Linked DNA regions of Elephas maximus indicus. The protein of the gene in region 2 interacts with the protein of the main gene of each other region in a pairwise test. Links are inferred from orthologs where the notes say so. Each region holds a gene or a part of one and is shown on either strand. Other genes may lie near its edges.

Evidence for each region.
Region 1: the proteins of TRIM69 (region 2) and NEK8 interact in binary tests that used the Homo sapiens proteins (3 or more experiments, as listed by UniProt). The two-hybrid records come from large-scale screens. The link is inferred for Elephas maximus indicus from reciprocal best matches to the Homo sapiens genes TRIM69 and NEK8.

Annotation. Positions count from the first base shown.
Region 1 is NC_064837.1:23,178,595-23,186,771, forward strand, and holds the start of NEK8 (serine/threonine-protein kinase Nek8), read right to left. Parts: upstream 3,275-8,177; coding exon 3,189-3,274; intron 3,078-3,188; coding exon of another isoform or gene 2,960-3,077; exon of another isoform or gene 2,393-2,959; intron 818-2,392; exon of another isoform or gene 754-817; coding exon 548-753; intron 301-547; coding exon 1-300. UniProt on the Homo sapiens protein: Required for renal tubular integrity. May regulate local cytoskeletal structure in kidney tubule epithelial cells. May regulate ciliary biogenesis through targeting of proteins to the cilia.
Region 2 is NC_064828.1:11,407,098-11,415,384, forward strand, and holds the start of TRIM69 (E3 ubiquitin-protein ligase TRIM69), read right to left. Parts: upstream 3,050-8,287; 5' UTR 2,984-3,049; coding exon 2,711-2,983; intron 1-2,710. Other genes in the region: E3 ubiquitin-protein ligase RNF4-like, read right to left, coding at 4,120-4,689.

The DNA of each region.
Region 1 (8,177 bases), on a different chromosome or scaffold from region 2:
GGATACAATGTGGACCTTGGCCCCCAAGACCTCCTGCACTCCCGAGGTCCCCTCCATGCCCAGGCACCGTGTAGGCCTTGCTCTTGCTGCTAAGGATCTTGGAGATGCCGAAGTCGCCAATCTTGACTACCATGCGGTGCTTGTCGAGAAGGATGTTCTGAGTCTTGAGGTCCCGGTGCAGGATAAGGTGGGTGTGCACGTGATGTAGTGCCAGCAGGATCTGCACGAAGAAGTGCAAGATGGTCTCCTCCTCCAGCAGGGAATTGCAGCGCTTTTGGATGAACTCAGCCAGGGTGCCACCTATGACCACAACAGGGTGGTCAGAATCCGGGCTTTTCCATGCCCAGGACAGCACCTCTTCTTTTATGGAATACTACACTGAGGCCGGGGAGGGCAAGGGGCCTGGGTCACACGACTGGGACCAGAACTCTATACCCCTGACCCTCAGCCAAGCCCATCCCAAAGCAGGAAGCTGGCTAATCTGTGTCTGCCTGTCCCAGAGGCAAGGGGTCCTTGGAGCCAGGCCAATGCAAGGAGGCTGGCCCACCTGGTGCGTATTCCATGGCAATCATGAGGGCCTTGTCCTCCAGGAAGTTCTCGTAGTACTCAATGACATTGGGGTGGTTGAGCAGCTTGAGGACCTGGCACTCATTCTGGGCCGCCTGCCTCTCCTCCTTGGTCATCTGCTCCACTGGAATCTGCTTGATGATCACCAGCTTCTGGTCAGCCTTGCGCAGGCACAGGTGTACAATCCTGGGGACACGGAGTACGGTGGCGGGCTCGGGTCAGGCGGGGCAAACCTGGTGCCTGGGAGCTCCTTAAAAGAGCAGAACGGGGACCCAGACTAAGAAGTCATCTAACCAAGGAGTCCCAGTGGCACAGTGGTTAAAACACTCAGTTGCAAACTGAAAGGTCAGGAGTTTGAACCCCACCAGCCACTCCACAGGAGAAAGATGTGGCAGTCTGCTTCCATAAAGGTTTCAACCTCTTAAACCTTATGGTACAGCTCTATTCTGTCCTATAGGGCCGCTATGAGTCGGAATGGACTCAACAGCAATGGGAAGCCAAGGGCCCAAAACACTGAGCTGGAGAAACGGGAGGAATGATCACAAACGTGGTGTGAGGCCTTGGGGAAGTTATTTAACTTATCTGAAACTCAGTTTTACCACAGGCGCAATGAGGAAAAAGTAATCCTGATCTATAAGTTCCCATAAGAGTCCTTGGGTGGTGAAATTGGTAAATACCCTCAGCTGCTAACTAAAAGGTTGGCGGTTCTAGGCCACCGAGAGGCACCTTGGAAGAAAGGCCTGGAAGCCTACTCTGAAAAACCAGCCATTGAAAACCCTACGAAGCACAGTTCTACTCTGACACACATGGGGTCACCATGAGTCAGGGTCAACTTGATGGCAATTGTTTTGTTTTGCTTTAAGTTCCCACAGACTCTGGAGTCAACTGCCTGGGTTCAAATCCTTGCTTCTCCTCTTACTGTCTGGTCTTAGACAAGTTATGTGACATCGTCATATGGAAAATAGGGATAATATAGAATCGACTTCACCGAGCTGTTAAGATCAAATGAGAAAACGCAGAGAAGGCACTTAGCAAGTTCCTGGCACACAGAAAATGCTCAATATGTACAAACCATTCATATTATTATTTCATTTCTAGTCTGTGGTCAATGTCCATAATAGCAGGGACTACACTCCCCTTGTTTACCCCTAAGTTCCCAGTGCATAGCCCAGTGTTTAGCACTTATTAGGAGCTCAATAAATATTTGCTGAACAGTCTGAAATTTATATCTCCAGCCCAGACCTCTCCTCTGAGCCCCAGACTGACACATCCAACTACCTGCTTTGCATCTCCACCTGAATGGCTCATAGCCATCCTACACTTTAGCAAATTAAAACTCTTGTTTCCTACCCCCCCAAAAACTTTTCCTTCCCGGCTCTTTTCCATTTCAGTAAATGGCACCACCATCCTCTACTTATTAAAGTCAGACACCTGAGAATCATCCCAGGGTCTTTCCTCCATTTCACACCAACTCATCAGTAAATCCTGTGTTTCTGCCTCCAAAATATCATGACGCCATCCACTTCTCTCCATGCCCTCTGCTATAACGCTTGATCAAATCATCGTCTCTTACCTAAAATGCACACTAGCCTCTGAAATGGTCCCTTTTGCTCTTGTCACCCTCAAATCTAAATTCCACATAACAGCCAGAGTGATGTTTTAAATACTCAAGTCAGTTCAGACCCTTCCTCTGCTTAAAACTCTTCCCCTTATAAAAGGTTGCCGCTGGGTCACTTCTGACTCATAGCGACCCTAAAGGACGGAGCAGAACTGCCCCATAGGGCTTCCAAGGAGCTGGTGGTGGATTTCAACTGCGAACTTTTTGGTTAGCAGCCTGAGCTCTTAATCACTGGGCCACCGGGGCTTCCTTCCCCGTATACTGCAAATAAAATCAACCCCTTTACCTCGGCCTACAAAGCCATAATCTGGTCCCTGTCCACCCTGACAACCTCATTTTATAAATTCTCTACCCTGCCCACTACATCCCAGCTACACTAGTCTTTTTCTCAGTTCCTTGAATGCTCTGAATTTTTTCCCTCCTGAGGATCTTCACATATGCAGTTTCCTGCCTGAAAAGGCCTTCACTCTCCGACCACTGGTCTTCATTCTTCAAGTCTTGGCTTTAACCTCACAGCTCAGAAAAGCCTTCCTTGACCAAACCCTAATAAATTTTTTCCCTGGTGGTGTACTCTCCTTACAGCCTGTTAATAACTTCCCTAACTGCCATACCTTTATAACTCCTTTAACAATTTGTCTTGCTTATTGTATAGTTTGCTTCTATAGTCTGTAAATTCTTTGACGTAGATCAAGGATCATGCAAGTTTTAGTTATAAGTGTTTACTCAGTCCCAGGATCTGACTTGTACAGTTGGCGCTCAGTGTTTGTTGAATGAATGAGTCACGCAGCGAAGAACTCGGCGAGGGCGCGTAAGCTTGCCAGGGGCGTGGCCTCCTTGGGGGCGGAGCCTCCCGCCAGATCTGGGACCGGAAACCTGGACGCGGCTCCACAGAGTGAGGGCTCACGTCTTGGGGCGGGGCTAACCGGGCAGCGACGTCACGGCCAGAGCTGGGGCTTATTTTCCCTCTTTCCAAGCACTTGCCTCCCCCAGACCCCTGGCTCACCCGAATGCACCTCTTCCCACCACACGGATCCGCTCGTACTTCTCCATCTCATTTTTCAGAGCCACACTTCCGGAACCCCGCCACATACAGACACAGCGCGTGCGCAGACCCGCCCACTCTAAGGCCCCGCCCCCGCCCTGTGAGTATTTGTGGGGCGGAGCAAGTAGAGCTCAGACTTAGGTTCCCCTCCACGTCTCTGCTGATTTACACCGTCCAGGCAACCCTGGCACGCGAGCGCTTTTCTTTCTCGATCCCGCCCCTCACAGGGTCCGGGGAATGGGGTGATATCCCACTGTTTGTCGCGCCCCGCTGTAGCCAGCACGGTACCGTCGCTCCCCACACGTGTGGCCCAATCCAGTCCTCGCAAAGCCTCGATACACCTGAAGGGTACCGTGCCCCGAGAATTGACCTTCCGCAGACCAGCTGGGGGTGGGAAGCGAGGACCCACCTCCCTCTGCCCAAGAGTGACGTTATTTCAGAAGGAGAGGGCGGATTCGCACTGGCACGGAAACGATAAATACTTAACCAAAACTGAACCGAGAGTGTCAGCCCTTTCGGTCTGCGGGGTAGGGAGCAGGGTTAGTTTCATGTTTGCCTAGGGAGGGACCGGGGAAACCCCGAGCTGTGCAGTTTGATTCACCTGGGGAGGATGTGACACAGTTTTCAGTCTGTCCCGAGTAGTGAGCACCGCGCTTGTCAGCATCCTTCAACTGTCCCCTCCACACACGCAACGCTGCAGCAGGGTGCTCTGCCCTCAGCGTTCAACTAGAAAAAACTTAATGGGGGGAAGATGGGAGATAGGTGGACTCCTGTCTGGGATAGGTGCAAGGTCTGCCTAGAGGTAGGGGGTGCTGGCTGGTATCACCATCTCGGGTCTTGATGGGAAGTCAGTTTAATTCAAGGTTCTCTCCGGCGGCTCCTGCTCTGCGGGAGCTCCATGAAAATCTCAGTCATAAGAAGGAGGATGGTGATTAGCTCAAGGTTAGTATCTTTATTTCTGAGTGAGCGAGGTATGTTGAGGAAACGGGTGTTTATCCTCTGTCCCCGCCCCAAACCAACGCGCATGGAATGACCACGAGAGCCCCTCAGTCTCTGGCTCAGGTCGTTGTAGGCAGGTGGACAAAGCTGCCCTGTAAGCAAAGGGGAGTGCAGAGAGGGAAAGCCGTTCACCCGGGACACTAGTGCCCTCACCTAGAAACCAACAGGCCGAGGTTGACCCAGGAGGCCCACAGGGGTTAATGTGTAACCTTGGAGCTGTCAGAGGAGGCAGAACAAACACCCAAACTGCTTAGTCCCTGGGTCTCTGGCGCCCCATACTTCTGGCTTTCTCTTCCCTCCCGCAGCACCTTTCCCCTAGCCCCTGGTCCCTTCCTACCCCCTCGGGGCTCAACCGCTTCCTCCCTTTGCCCAGAGTCTAACTTTCCTAAAACGCAACTGCCATGCTCGTTGAAGGCAGGAGGCCCTCGCCACAATGAGGACAGGCTGGCACCTAGTGGCCGCGAGCCGCAATTGCTCCAGGCCCTTGGGCTGGAGAATGAGGGTCACTCCAGTAGCCTGGGCAAAGCGTCGGTCTTCCCCGCCCCAGCCTCCAGGGAGCCAGAAGAGGACTGGGACTGTCTGAGGGAGGATTGTGACAGCCGCCTGGCCCCAGGAGCCCAGGAGCAGCTGGGAGAAGAGGTGGTGAGTTAATAGTTCCTAAGCACCCACTTGGTGCGGGGGGTGGTGGTGGGAAATAGGAGCAGGTAAGCACGACCATCTTGGCCTGAAGAAGCTAGTGGGTCCAGTGCAGGAACAGGGTCTGTGCAGAAATCATCGTCCGATCCGGGCCTCCGACCCCTCCGCAGGACCAGGGCTTAAGGGGCGTGGGTGACAGGTCCCGCCCAACTTTGCTCAGAAAGAAGTTGAGGGTGGGGAGGTTTCTCTCAGTCCCCGCCCAGGGCGGGGAAGCCGGTGGCCCCGGGGAAAGTGGGGACGCGGATTAATAAGGCCAAGCGAGCGAGGGCGGGAGCGTACTCCGTCAGCAGTCGGGAAGCGCCAGCGCGGGGTGCCTCGGCAGCAGAGCCTCCGGGACAGCCCCTCTTCGCCCGAAGCCTTCGGGGGCCTGGCGGGGCCCGGGAGGCGCCCGGGAAATGGGGCTCGCGCCCTCCGCGCGGCACAGGCGCCGGGGAGCGGGGGCGGGCGGACGGGGCGGGGCGGGGGCGCGGGCGGCTGGGGGCGGGGGCAGAGGCCGCGCGGGGAGGGGCCGGGCGGAGCGAAGGGGCCTAAAGGGCTCCGCGGAAAGTGTGCGAGGCTGGCGGCCGGCGCGAGGGCCGGCGGCGGCAGGAGAGGTGTTCGGGGCGGACTGGCCTGAGAAGGAGCCTGTTCCCCGAACAACCTGAGGCAGCCGCCAAGAAGGCGGGCAGACAGACGGCAGGGAGGGCCAGTATGCCCCTTCTGCTGCACCCCGCCTTGCCGCTGCTCCTGGGCGCCACGCTGACCTTCCGGGCGCTCCGGCGCGCGCTCTGTCGCCTGCCCCTGCCCGCGCACGTGCGTGCCGACTCCCTGCGCACCTGGCGCTGGCACAACCTGCTCGTCTCCTTTGCTCACTCCATAGTTTCTGGAATCTGGGCGCTACTGTGGTGAGTAAGCGATTGGGGGACTGAAGGTAGCTAGGGGATCCGTGCACAGGGAGCTGAAACTGGCTCTTGCTTTACTTCATCGCCCACGGGCGGCTGAGGCCCTGCAGTCTCACCTGATTCTCTATTTTGGAATCCTATCCAACCAGGAGTGGAAGCGGCCCCAGGGGAGGGGGAGTCTCACCTGGGAAACCGGAGGCACAGCGTTTCGGCCAATCCCCTCCTTGCTCCCTAGTCAGCCAATAGCGCGAGCGGCTGGCCCAGACTCCCCCAGGACTGCCAACAGTAATTGGGGATTTGAGGGCCAGGGCCCTTTGGAGTGCCGAAACGGTGGGAGCCTCGCTTCTTTCCTCCCTTCCAGTGTATGGCAGACCCCTGAAATGCTGGTGGAGATTGAGACGGCATGGTCACTTTCTGGCTATCTACTTGTCTGCTTCTCTGCAGGTAGGTCTTGCCCAGGAAGCCAAAGTTGGTAGAAGAAAGCTTTTCAGCCCTTTTCATGACCTATCCTTCCATTCCTCCACTAGGTTATTTCATCCACGACACGGTAGACATCGTGGTGAGCCGCCAGGCTCGAGCTTCTTGGGAATATCTTGTCCACCACGTCATGGTAAGTGAGCAGGGGCTGGGGTATAGACCTGGTGCTGGCTACTGGGTCTCAACCCAGTCTGAACCTGAGAAGGCCATCTTCTCTTAACCCTGGTCTTACCCTTGTCCTACATCTTTTCTCATGCTAAAAGCTGAGGGTTGGCACTGTCCCTACGCTCCCCACTTGAGGCCTGCAATCCTTGGTCCCACCTAAACCAAAAAACAAACTTGTTGCTGTTGAGCCTGTTTCAACTCATAGCCCTACAGGACAGAGTAGAGCTGCCCCATAGGGTTTCTAAGGAGCAGCTTCTGGATTCAAACTGCTGACCTCTTGGTTAGCAGCCAGAGCACTTAACCACTACACCACCAGGGTTTCCCCAGTGCACCTTGCACCTCCTTAAATAGGCTGGAAATTCCACTCAGTGCCAGGCCCTATGATCAGAGATCAAGGTTTAATGTTGAATGAAGAAGACATTTTAACTACATCAGGAGGAAAGAGGGGGCTTCCAACTCTGTTGTGATCACACTCCTACCAACTTCCAAGAAAGTTTTGGCATCTCTGGTCCCTAACCCCTGTTCTTCACCTTCTAGGCCATGGGTGCCTTCTTCTCAGGCATATTTTGGAGCAGCTTTGTTGGTGGGGGCGTCCTAACACTACTAGTGGAGGTCAGCAACATCTTCCTTACCATCCGCATGATGATGAAGATTAACAATGCCCAGGATCTCCTTCTCTACCGGGTCAACAAGTATGTCAACCTGGTCATGTACTTTCTCTTCCGCCTAGCTCCTCAGGCCTACCTCACCCATTTCTTCCTGCGTTACACCGGCCAGAGGAACCTGGGTACCTTTCTACTGGGCATCCTGCTCATGCTGGACGTGATGATCCTCATCTACTTTTCCCGCCTCCTTCGCTCTGACTTCTGCCCTGAACGTGTCCCCAGCCAGAAACACAAAGACAAATTCTTGACTGAGTGAGAGCAGAGCCTGGGACTCATGGCAAGGCCAGGAAACACAGCCTAGGAGAGCAAATTCACACAACAACTAGGACTTCACCCCAAGCCTGGGGTGTTCTTTGTGACCAACCTCTAACCTTGGGCACCTGGTATTGAAAATACTATGAAAGCACTCCTCTGAAGTCCTTGTCCTTTCTTGGGCAAGCGGTGAGGGAAGCAGACAGACCGGTTGGACACGGTAGATGGGTGTGTGGGGACTGGGTGCTACCCGAAAGCCAGCCAACCCACACACTGCCCGGTAATGGATGCTAATGAAAACTCTCAGTGAAGTTGTCTTAGGACAGCTAACCTTAATCTGGGTCACAAAGTATGTCTGGTACGTAAGCTCCTACCACCAGGGGTTACGAGTATGGTGGGGTGTCAGGGCTGAGTGTTTTAATAGCAACAAAGCAGACTTAAGAGTCTTGCCCAGGCCCCGTAGCTGTGTACCATAGCATGGCTTCACCCCAGCCCAACCAGAAACAGATACAAAGACAAGAAGCATATGTGGTGAAAAAATTTATATTTAGAATTAGCCAGCTGGACTCAGTTTATATGATCCCAATCTGAAAAACAAAAGGGAGCTTTGTTACTAAGAGCTGAAACGTGAAGATTAAGTTGGAATGTTATGGTTAAAAAAAAAAAACGAGGGCGAGGCCTGTTACGGATAGGGTGCAGTCAGTCAGTTAAGACTCATCACCAAACATCAGGCTTTGGTCACTAACAGAGGCATCATCTGTACCCAGGGGGTGGGTGTTAGGGAGTTTGTAGAAGAGGAAGCTTACTTTGTTGGC
Region 2 (8,287 bases):
TCCTCTATACTTTAACAGCACTTCGCAGGTACTTATATCACAGTTTTTATTACACTGCGTATTTCTTTCATCCTCATAACTAGTTGTTTGCATATCTCTCCTCCACTAGCCATGAGCTTCTTGGAGGAAAAGACTAATTCAGCTTTTTAGTTACACAGACCTACACTCTCAAATTTTAATAAATCCTAGCTAAGTGAGTGGATGAGTGAGTGAATTAATGATTAGGCAGTACCCAGCAATGCACCATACCTGCTCTTTTATGTTTGCAGAATAAAGCAGCTGCTGTTTCTGTGGCTCCTGTTTGTTTAGAGGAAAGGAAGTGGGTAGTTAAAGGTCCTCTTCTCAGTAGAAGTCAAGTGGTACAGGTAACCTCTGCCTCAGTCCTTGCTACATACTGGCAGCTCCTAGACCCTCCATTTAGAGTGCCAGTGATGCTGGCAGGGCTACACCTGGGGCCAGGTGCCTCCTTCATGCCACTCCACAGAAGAAAGGAAGGTGCTCCTAGGATGTTTTTGCCTGCTGAAAGCTAAGGGGGCAGGGAAGAGCCCATATCAAATGCCACCCTGAAGAATGTCCCCCATACAGTGAGGGTCATCATGTTAGAGCTGTCTGTGAATAGCCCCTGGGACAGTAGAAAAAACGTTTTCCTCAGGTGGGAACCTACCTGCACGATACATGGAACTGGACTATGAAACTGAAGATGGAGGGAAAAAAAACTAAAGTTTTACTCTTAAAATACTGTGTATTAACAGATGTCTAAAACTGTTCTAAATAAGTCTGTTAGAACAGCCTGCTGTTCCTAACCATGAACACCTTGTTTAGAACTACCCAGTGGGACCCAACCCAGCCAGAGTCCTAGAGGAGGCCAGGACTGTAGGGCACTAGAACAGCAGGGCTTAAAGACAAAGGCCTGTGCCTCCCTGCGATTCCTTGGTCCTAGCTATCCATGAGTGTGTCAGGGAAGCCCAACAGTAGGTAAGAAATGTTGGGAGTGTGTGTGTGTGTGCATTGGTGCAAATGCTGCTGCTGCTCACCACCCTCGCTGCAGGAAAGTCCTGTTTTGAGACAGACACTGGACTAATGATGTTATTGGAACCTGTTTTACTTTATTAACACTCCCTTGACTATCCCACTAGGCAAATATTAATACCAAAGCAGTGGGATGTAACTGATGTAAGGAAGGGACCTAAAGGCTTACTCCTCTTAACTATTTTAGGTTCTTGGAGAGCAACATGTTTCTCCTGCGAGGTGTATGCAATATTTACAGTAGGGATGAATTCAGTGTGGACCACGCGACAGAAAGCTCAGTCCTTGGTTAGTGACCAGTCTGACTCCTTCACTTTTTCTGTCTTCTCCTTATTCTCAAGCAGATCGATTTCAGCCTGTGGTTCATGGAACCTGGGCATATGACAGCTCAAGAAGTTGTCTGTGTGTAATGATAGTGAACATCAGGAAAAGACGAATGAATATCGCCAGATGATTTCACCATGGGGCTAATTTGGTCTGAAGCTAGATCAGGAACCAAGTGGTTAAGTTTGATTGTCTACCCCTCCCAATTCCATTTCCACTCTGGCCAAATAAGCTTCCACTTACCCAAAAGGCTACCGAAAGCTAAATCGGAACTGCCACACCTGCCCCTGACTCCTATCACTGCCACCTCACACCAACAACCATCGCCCAAAAGCTGCCACAGCTGCCTTCTGGCTTCCATAGCTGGACTGGCCACGCTCTCATGGACTCTCAGACATCAGGGGCAAGAGAGCGCCAGTGCAGCACCAAACGTCTCAGACCAAGGCTACTTCCTTTTTTCTCACATACACATCAAATAATTCACTCACATTTTGAGAGGAAAATCAACACCAGAATCTTTCTAGTTCCACCTCCACATTTTTCCCCCAGCTTTTCAACTGCGTCTTCAGCTGTTACTGGCATCATGCTGAGTCTTCAGAATCCTTCCCTGGAGGCTGTAGAATAAAATCTAAACTCTGTACATAACACACAATGCCCCGCTCATGATGTAGCCCTAAGCATCTCTCCTAGCTTTAATTCTCTCTTCGTGCAGCCACGTACAATAGTCACACCAAAGTGGCCCTGCCAATGTGCTCTGTGGCGTCTTCTACTTTTGTTTTGACGCCCTGTTGAGGTTCCTACCCTTGCCAAGGTCTACACTCTGACTGCCTGTGATGTATGCACGCAGTGCCTAGTACCTAGGAGGTGCCACTACTAATTCCTTCTTGCTTAGAGTCCTCAGACAAGGTAAGGCGTGTTCCCATTAAAACAAGCCTGTTATCCCTTCCTAGGGCTTGTACTCCAAATCCCTGTCCAATTTTTCCCCCAACAGCTGAGCTAGACAATGAAGTAACAGATGTCAGCGTCCCCTAACTAATCCACAGTGGTATAACCAGAACAGTGGTTACCTATAGCGGTGGGGATTGACTGGAAGAGGGCACAAGGGGACTTTTTAGGTTGACAGAATTGTTCTATATTTTGATTGGGGTGTTAGGCACATGAATGTATATATTTGCCAAAACTCATTAGCCAAGTCTGTGATGTACTGTGCCGTGTCACAGAGCAACGAATAGTCTCCAAAGTGGGATGCACGCGACAATCTCATGAAATGTGGAAAGGAAATATTTAGAACGTTTTTCTAAATTTTTTTCCTTTTCATTTTTTTTTTCTCATTTCATTTGAGAATATAAAAGGGACCCACCGCAGGGTGGACACCACATTTATCTTGCGTATTCTCCACCAAGCGGAACAACCGAGGTCTGGGGTGTGGGCAGCATTCCAGAGAAGCAGTGAGTAGACAGGAAGGAGGCCAACAGGCAAGTAAGCCTCCATGGGGAAGAGCAGCATGCCATGACCATAGGAAACCAAGTGTAGAGCAAGCTTTATTCCGCGTTTCACTCTCTGAGAAAGGGAGAGGGCTTTGCAGAGACCACCCTCCTCCAGTCAAAAGTGCAGACTGAACTGTGAGTGCCATGCGACATTCTGCAAAGGATAGCAGTGGAGGGTCTTCTCAAGGCCTCTGAGCCAGCCAGGCCCCAGAGCAGCTGAGATGGTGATGAGCTGATCTGTTTGTTCACAGAGACACATGCAGACTTGTTGATCAGTTGATCAGGGTGGTCAAAGGCAGGCATACCTGTAAATCCAGGGTGAAGACAGCGCTTCTCTGGCTGGCAGGTTCAAGAGAGCACAGGACAATGCCTCCATATTCCATTGTGCCCAGGCCACTGCCCAGGCCGGCCTCACAGGTCACTAGAAGACTCAGCAGGGCAGGGTGCCTAGTAGTATACCCCCTTCACTCTGCTGGTTGGACAGGTGGCCAGAAAAGACTGACTGACTTCTACTCCCAAAGGAATCGAGAAATCCAGAGGCAATACCCTGCCTAGTCCATTAATCAGAATACAGTTTCCATTAATCTAGCCAAGACCAACATGTCGTTAGATGCCACTGAGCCGATTCCAACTCACTGTGACCCTATGTGACAGAGCAGAACTGCCCCGTGGGGTTTTCTAGGCTATAATCTTTATGGGAGAAGATTGCCAGGTCTTTCTTCCGTGGAGCCGCTGGCTGGGTTGAAGCCGCCAACCTTTCAGCTAGCAGCCGAGCACTTAACGATTGTGCCACCAGCGCTCCAGACCCAATATAATGGTTGCTTAAACAAGGATGAAATTCATACTTCTTGCACATAAAAGTCCAAACTTGTACGGTTGCTCTTGTCTGTGACATTGTCAGTCTCCTAAGTTCCTTCTGTCTACTTGCTCCACCATCTCTAGGGTGGTGCCCTCATTTACATGATCCAAAATGGCCACAGGTGGCCAACTAGAAATTGATTACTATGGGAAAGAAAGGGAAAAATTGCTTTGGGGACAGCCACTTGTCTCTGGCACACTGAGACAACCACCAAAGTCCAGCCCTGTGGCATGAAACCAAAGAAAAACAAAAAGGAGCATCTCATAGTATGTAGAAACAAAACAGCTTTTTATATACTGCAGATAGCAGACTTAAAAATCAGGCTTTTTGAGCTCAGAGCATTGGATGCCAACAATCCATAGTTCTACAGTAGCACGTGGAAAACGCCAGCCAGGCTGTCTGTCCTGAACAACACAGCACACATCATACATAAATGCGGTGGTACTCATGGCCACGGATTTTTTTCAAACAAACTGGACAAGTTTTAGTATATTTCAGGGAATTGCGGAGGCACTGACTACAGAAGATGTGGCCACATTCTGTAGAATAGATGCATCTTCCGCTCTGTTCAATCTCTGAATACCCATCCATGCAAATTCGACAGCAGATATAACCAGGTAGCCGGCAACGTAAAGCTTCTTCTTCCAGGGCATTGTGGTGGACACTGTTGATCACATACACATCTCTGTCCCTCATCAACCCCTCCTCATCACTGCTCACCACACAGCTGCCAATTTGGCCTTCAAGTGGCCTTGCGTTTCTCCTTGGCCTCCTCCTTTCTTCAGTTATCACAACAGAGTCATTTTGAGTTAGATCAATCACTGTGGGTTCTAAAGATTCACAGGTGAGGTCTACTACTTCATCCCTATCACTTTCCCTGAGTTCTATCAGTTCTGCTTCCAATGCCATCTCAGGGGTTGGGCCTCCTATCCCAGCCCGCTTATGGGCTTGTCTGGAATTGACCATGCTACCACAGCACATTCTTGTATTCATTGTGCTTTTTGGATCCAGCCTTCAAAGAAGTAAGCAATTTGTTCCAAAGTTTACAATGAATGTTAAAGTCCTCAATGTCTTGCAACTGTTGTTATGGTTGCATTTTGCAGCTGGCCTACATAAGAATTTAGAGCCCAGATTTTCTAGTATCTTTGAGCTCTGATCCTGGTTCCAGTCCTCTGTCTTCGCCTCCACAACTGATGTGCTCCCACAGAGGGTGACTCTTCTGGGAGCCACTGATAAGACAACTCAATCTGAATTTTTATCTGAAAAAGTGAGAGAAAAATTGAAGTTTAGTAATATTTAAAATAAGATTGATAGTAATATGTATAAATACATAGTTATATATATGTTTATAATGTATATTAAAAAAAACCTTTTTGATAGTCATGCATTTTAACAAAGTTTGGAGACCACTGCTCTCGACGCTGAGTGCCCCTCCTTACTACATATCCTGATGGTAGTGAGGAGAAGGAGAAGCTCAAGGGGGACTTTCATGAAGAGAAGCACCAAGGAAGGGCCACCACTTCATCCAGGAGCCATTATGGGGATCTCAAGTAAAAATGGAGAATGCAAGAAGCTCTTTGCACAGTTGAGTTTTTAATAAGAAATGAACTATTCAGTCCACACAGAGGTTCATCTTGCCGAGGATTCACTGTCCAGCAGAGGCAACTATGGAATTTTTAATTAAAGAGTTTTATCCCAGATTCTGTTCTAGGGAGGAGGAGATGGAGTTTAAACATGAGCCACAGAGAGAGACTTGGTTTGATTCTGGGCTCTGTGCCTTTTGGACTTGTGACTTAGAGAGTTATTTAAGTTCTCAAAATCTCAGCAGGTAAATCCTTTATAAAAACTAATTCTTTTTGCAATTAAAAAAATAATGCAGATACATGGTTAAAAAAAAAAAAATCACAGTGAAAGGTATGGCTCCCACCTTGGATGCCCGCTCCCCCAGTTCTTCCCAAAGGCAACTGCCATTACCAGCTTATTGTGTCTCTACCAGAGACATACGGTAATAATGCATACAGAACATGTATTACTTTGATATACTTTTTATATATAAACTCTGCTTAAAATTCAGAATTGTGATCAGAAGCTGTACCTACTGTCACCAATAATATTTTTAAGCTACATTTTGCATTCTTTTAGATAAATATATTTTAAATAAATAAGACACTTTATTCCACATATATTAAAAACAAAACAAAAAACCCCAACCTCATAGGGAGCTATGAGGAACAAACGAGAATTTCTAGCACATTGGCAAATATAAGGCAAAAATGTCATCTGTCCCCCACTTTGGTAGTTGTAGTTGCCTTGGATCACCCTAGTCATTGGCTTTTATGACTTCCCCCATCTCAGTAAGTTTTCCCCTTTTAAGATTTGAAAGGAGAAAAATTTACTTTATTTTAGAAAGTACCAGTTGGGAAGCCAAACAGGTTTCCAACTAAGTGAACCAGGCCATTGACAGTCACATACGCCAAGGCTATTCTATAGAAGCGCCGCCAGGAGAAGACCCAGTGCCTTCAAGGATACTACATGAAAAGATGAAGCTGGAGGATTTAGTAAAAACCTCAGGAAAACAAAAGCCACCAAGGGCAGCTAAACAGAGAAACCCTGGGCACGCCCACATGCACTGCCCATGTGCTGGATTCTGGAGTCAGGCCTGGCTTGGAATCAAAACTCTAGCTCTGACTGCCTATTTGACCCTGGTGAATTAGTCTCTCTGAGCTTCAGTCTTCTCATCAGAAGGCATAATAACACCTTCCTTCTAGAATGCTAAAAAAAAAAAAATGACATAAACATGTAAAGCCTCTAGCACCAGGCAAAATCTCACTCAAAGGGATTTTTTTCTTTTCCGGAATATTTTATTCTGCTTTAGGTGAAAGTTTGGAGACCTGGTGGCTCAATGGTTAAGAGCTACAACGAGCTATGGCTGCTAATCAAAATGTCAGCAGTTCAAATCCACCACCTGCTCCTTGGAAACCCTATAGGGCCATTCTACTCTGTCCTATAGGGTCACTATGAGTCGGAATCAACTTGATGGCAACAGAGGGGGGTTAGGTGAAAGCTTACAAAGCAAATTAATTTCCCATTCAATAATTCATACTCAAACTGTTCCACGACATTGTTTGCAATCCCCATAATGTGTCAGCATCTCCCCATCTCTACCCTGGGTTCCCCTTTCCATTCATCCTGTTTCCCTGCCCCTTCTCATCTTTGTTTCTGGGCAAATGTTGACCTTCTGGTCTCGTATAATTGATTGTTCTAAAGAGCACATTTCCTCATGTATGTTATTGTTTATTTTATAGGCCAGTCTATTCAGCTGAAAGGTGGCCTCCAGGAGTGGCTTCAGTTCCAGGTTAGAAGGCTGTCTTAGGGCAATAGTCTTGGGGGTTCCTTCAGTCTGTCAGACCAGTAAGCCTGGCCTTTTTATGATTTGAATTTTGTTCTACATTTTTCTCCCATTCTAAAATTAACCAGGGTCCTCGGTTGTGATCTCGGTAAAAGCAGTCAGTAGTGCGTAGCTGGACACCATCTAGTGCTTCTGGTCTCAGGTTAGAGGAGGCTGTGGTTCACGTGGGTCATTAGTCCTTTGGGCTGATTGCTTCCTTGAGGCTTTGGTTTTCTTTACCTTTCTCTAGACGGGAAGAGACCAATAGTTGTGTCTTAGATGGCCACCTGCAAGCTTTTAAGACCCCAGATACTATTCATCAAACGAGGATGTAGAATACTATCTTTATGAACTATGTTATGCCAATTGACCTAAATGTCCCCCAAGACTATGGTCCTTAGCCCTCAAACCCAGTAACAGCTCCTAGGGGAGTCTGGATATGTCTAAGAAGTTTCCATAACTGTGCCCCTACGTGCCATGTTATGTATATGAATATACATGCAGCATATACAAATATGTATATAGAAATATCCATAACTATACCTATTTTTTATACCTATATATATGAGTGTGGGTGTACTCCCGCACAACCTCCCACATCTATTTAGCATACATATCTACCTATGTACCCATTCACAAATAATTGTTTGCCATTACTGTTGTTGCAGGATTATATCCATTATAGGATTTACTGTCGTTGCCCTTTATTCTTGCGTACCTCTCAGTATCTTCCTTTGCCTTGGTCACTTTGTGCCGACTTCCCCTGTATTATGTATTGCCTTTCCCTTCACCAGAATTAATGTGTGTCTGCTATCTAGTTAGTGATTCTCCCTCCCTCTCCCTCCCAACCCTAGTAACCATCAAAGAACGTTTCTTTCTGTTTGTAAACCTATTCTTGACTTTTTGTAATAGTGGTCTCCTACAGTATTGCCCTTTTGTGACTGACTTATTTCACTCAGTACAATGTCCTCCAGGTTCACCCATGTGAGATATTTGCTGATTCATCATTATTCTTTATCATTGCGTAGCATTCCATTGTGTGTATGTACCACAGTTTGTTTATCCAATTTGTCTGTTGATGAGCACTAAGATTGTTTCTACCTTTTTACTCTCATGAATAATGCTGCAATGAACATAGGTGTGCATATGTCTATTCATGTCACAGCTCTTATTTCTCTAGCATATATAGCTTTTTTTTTTGGG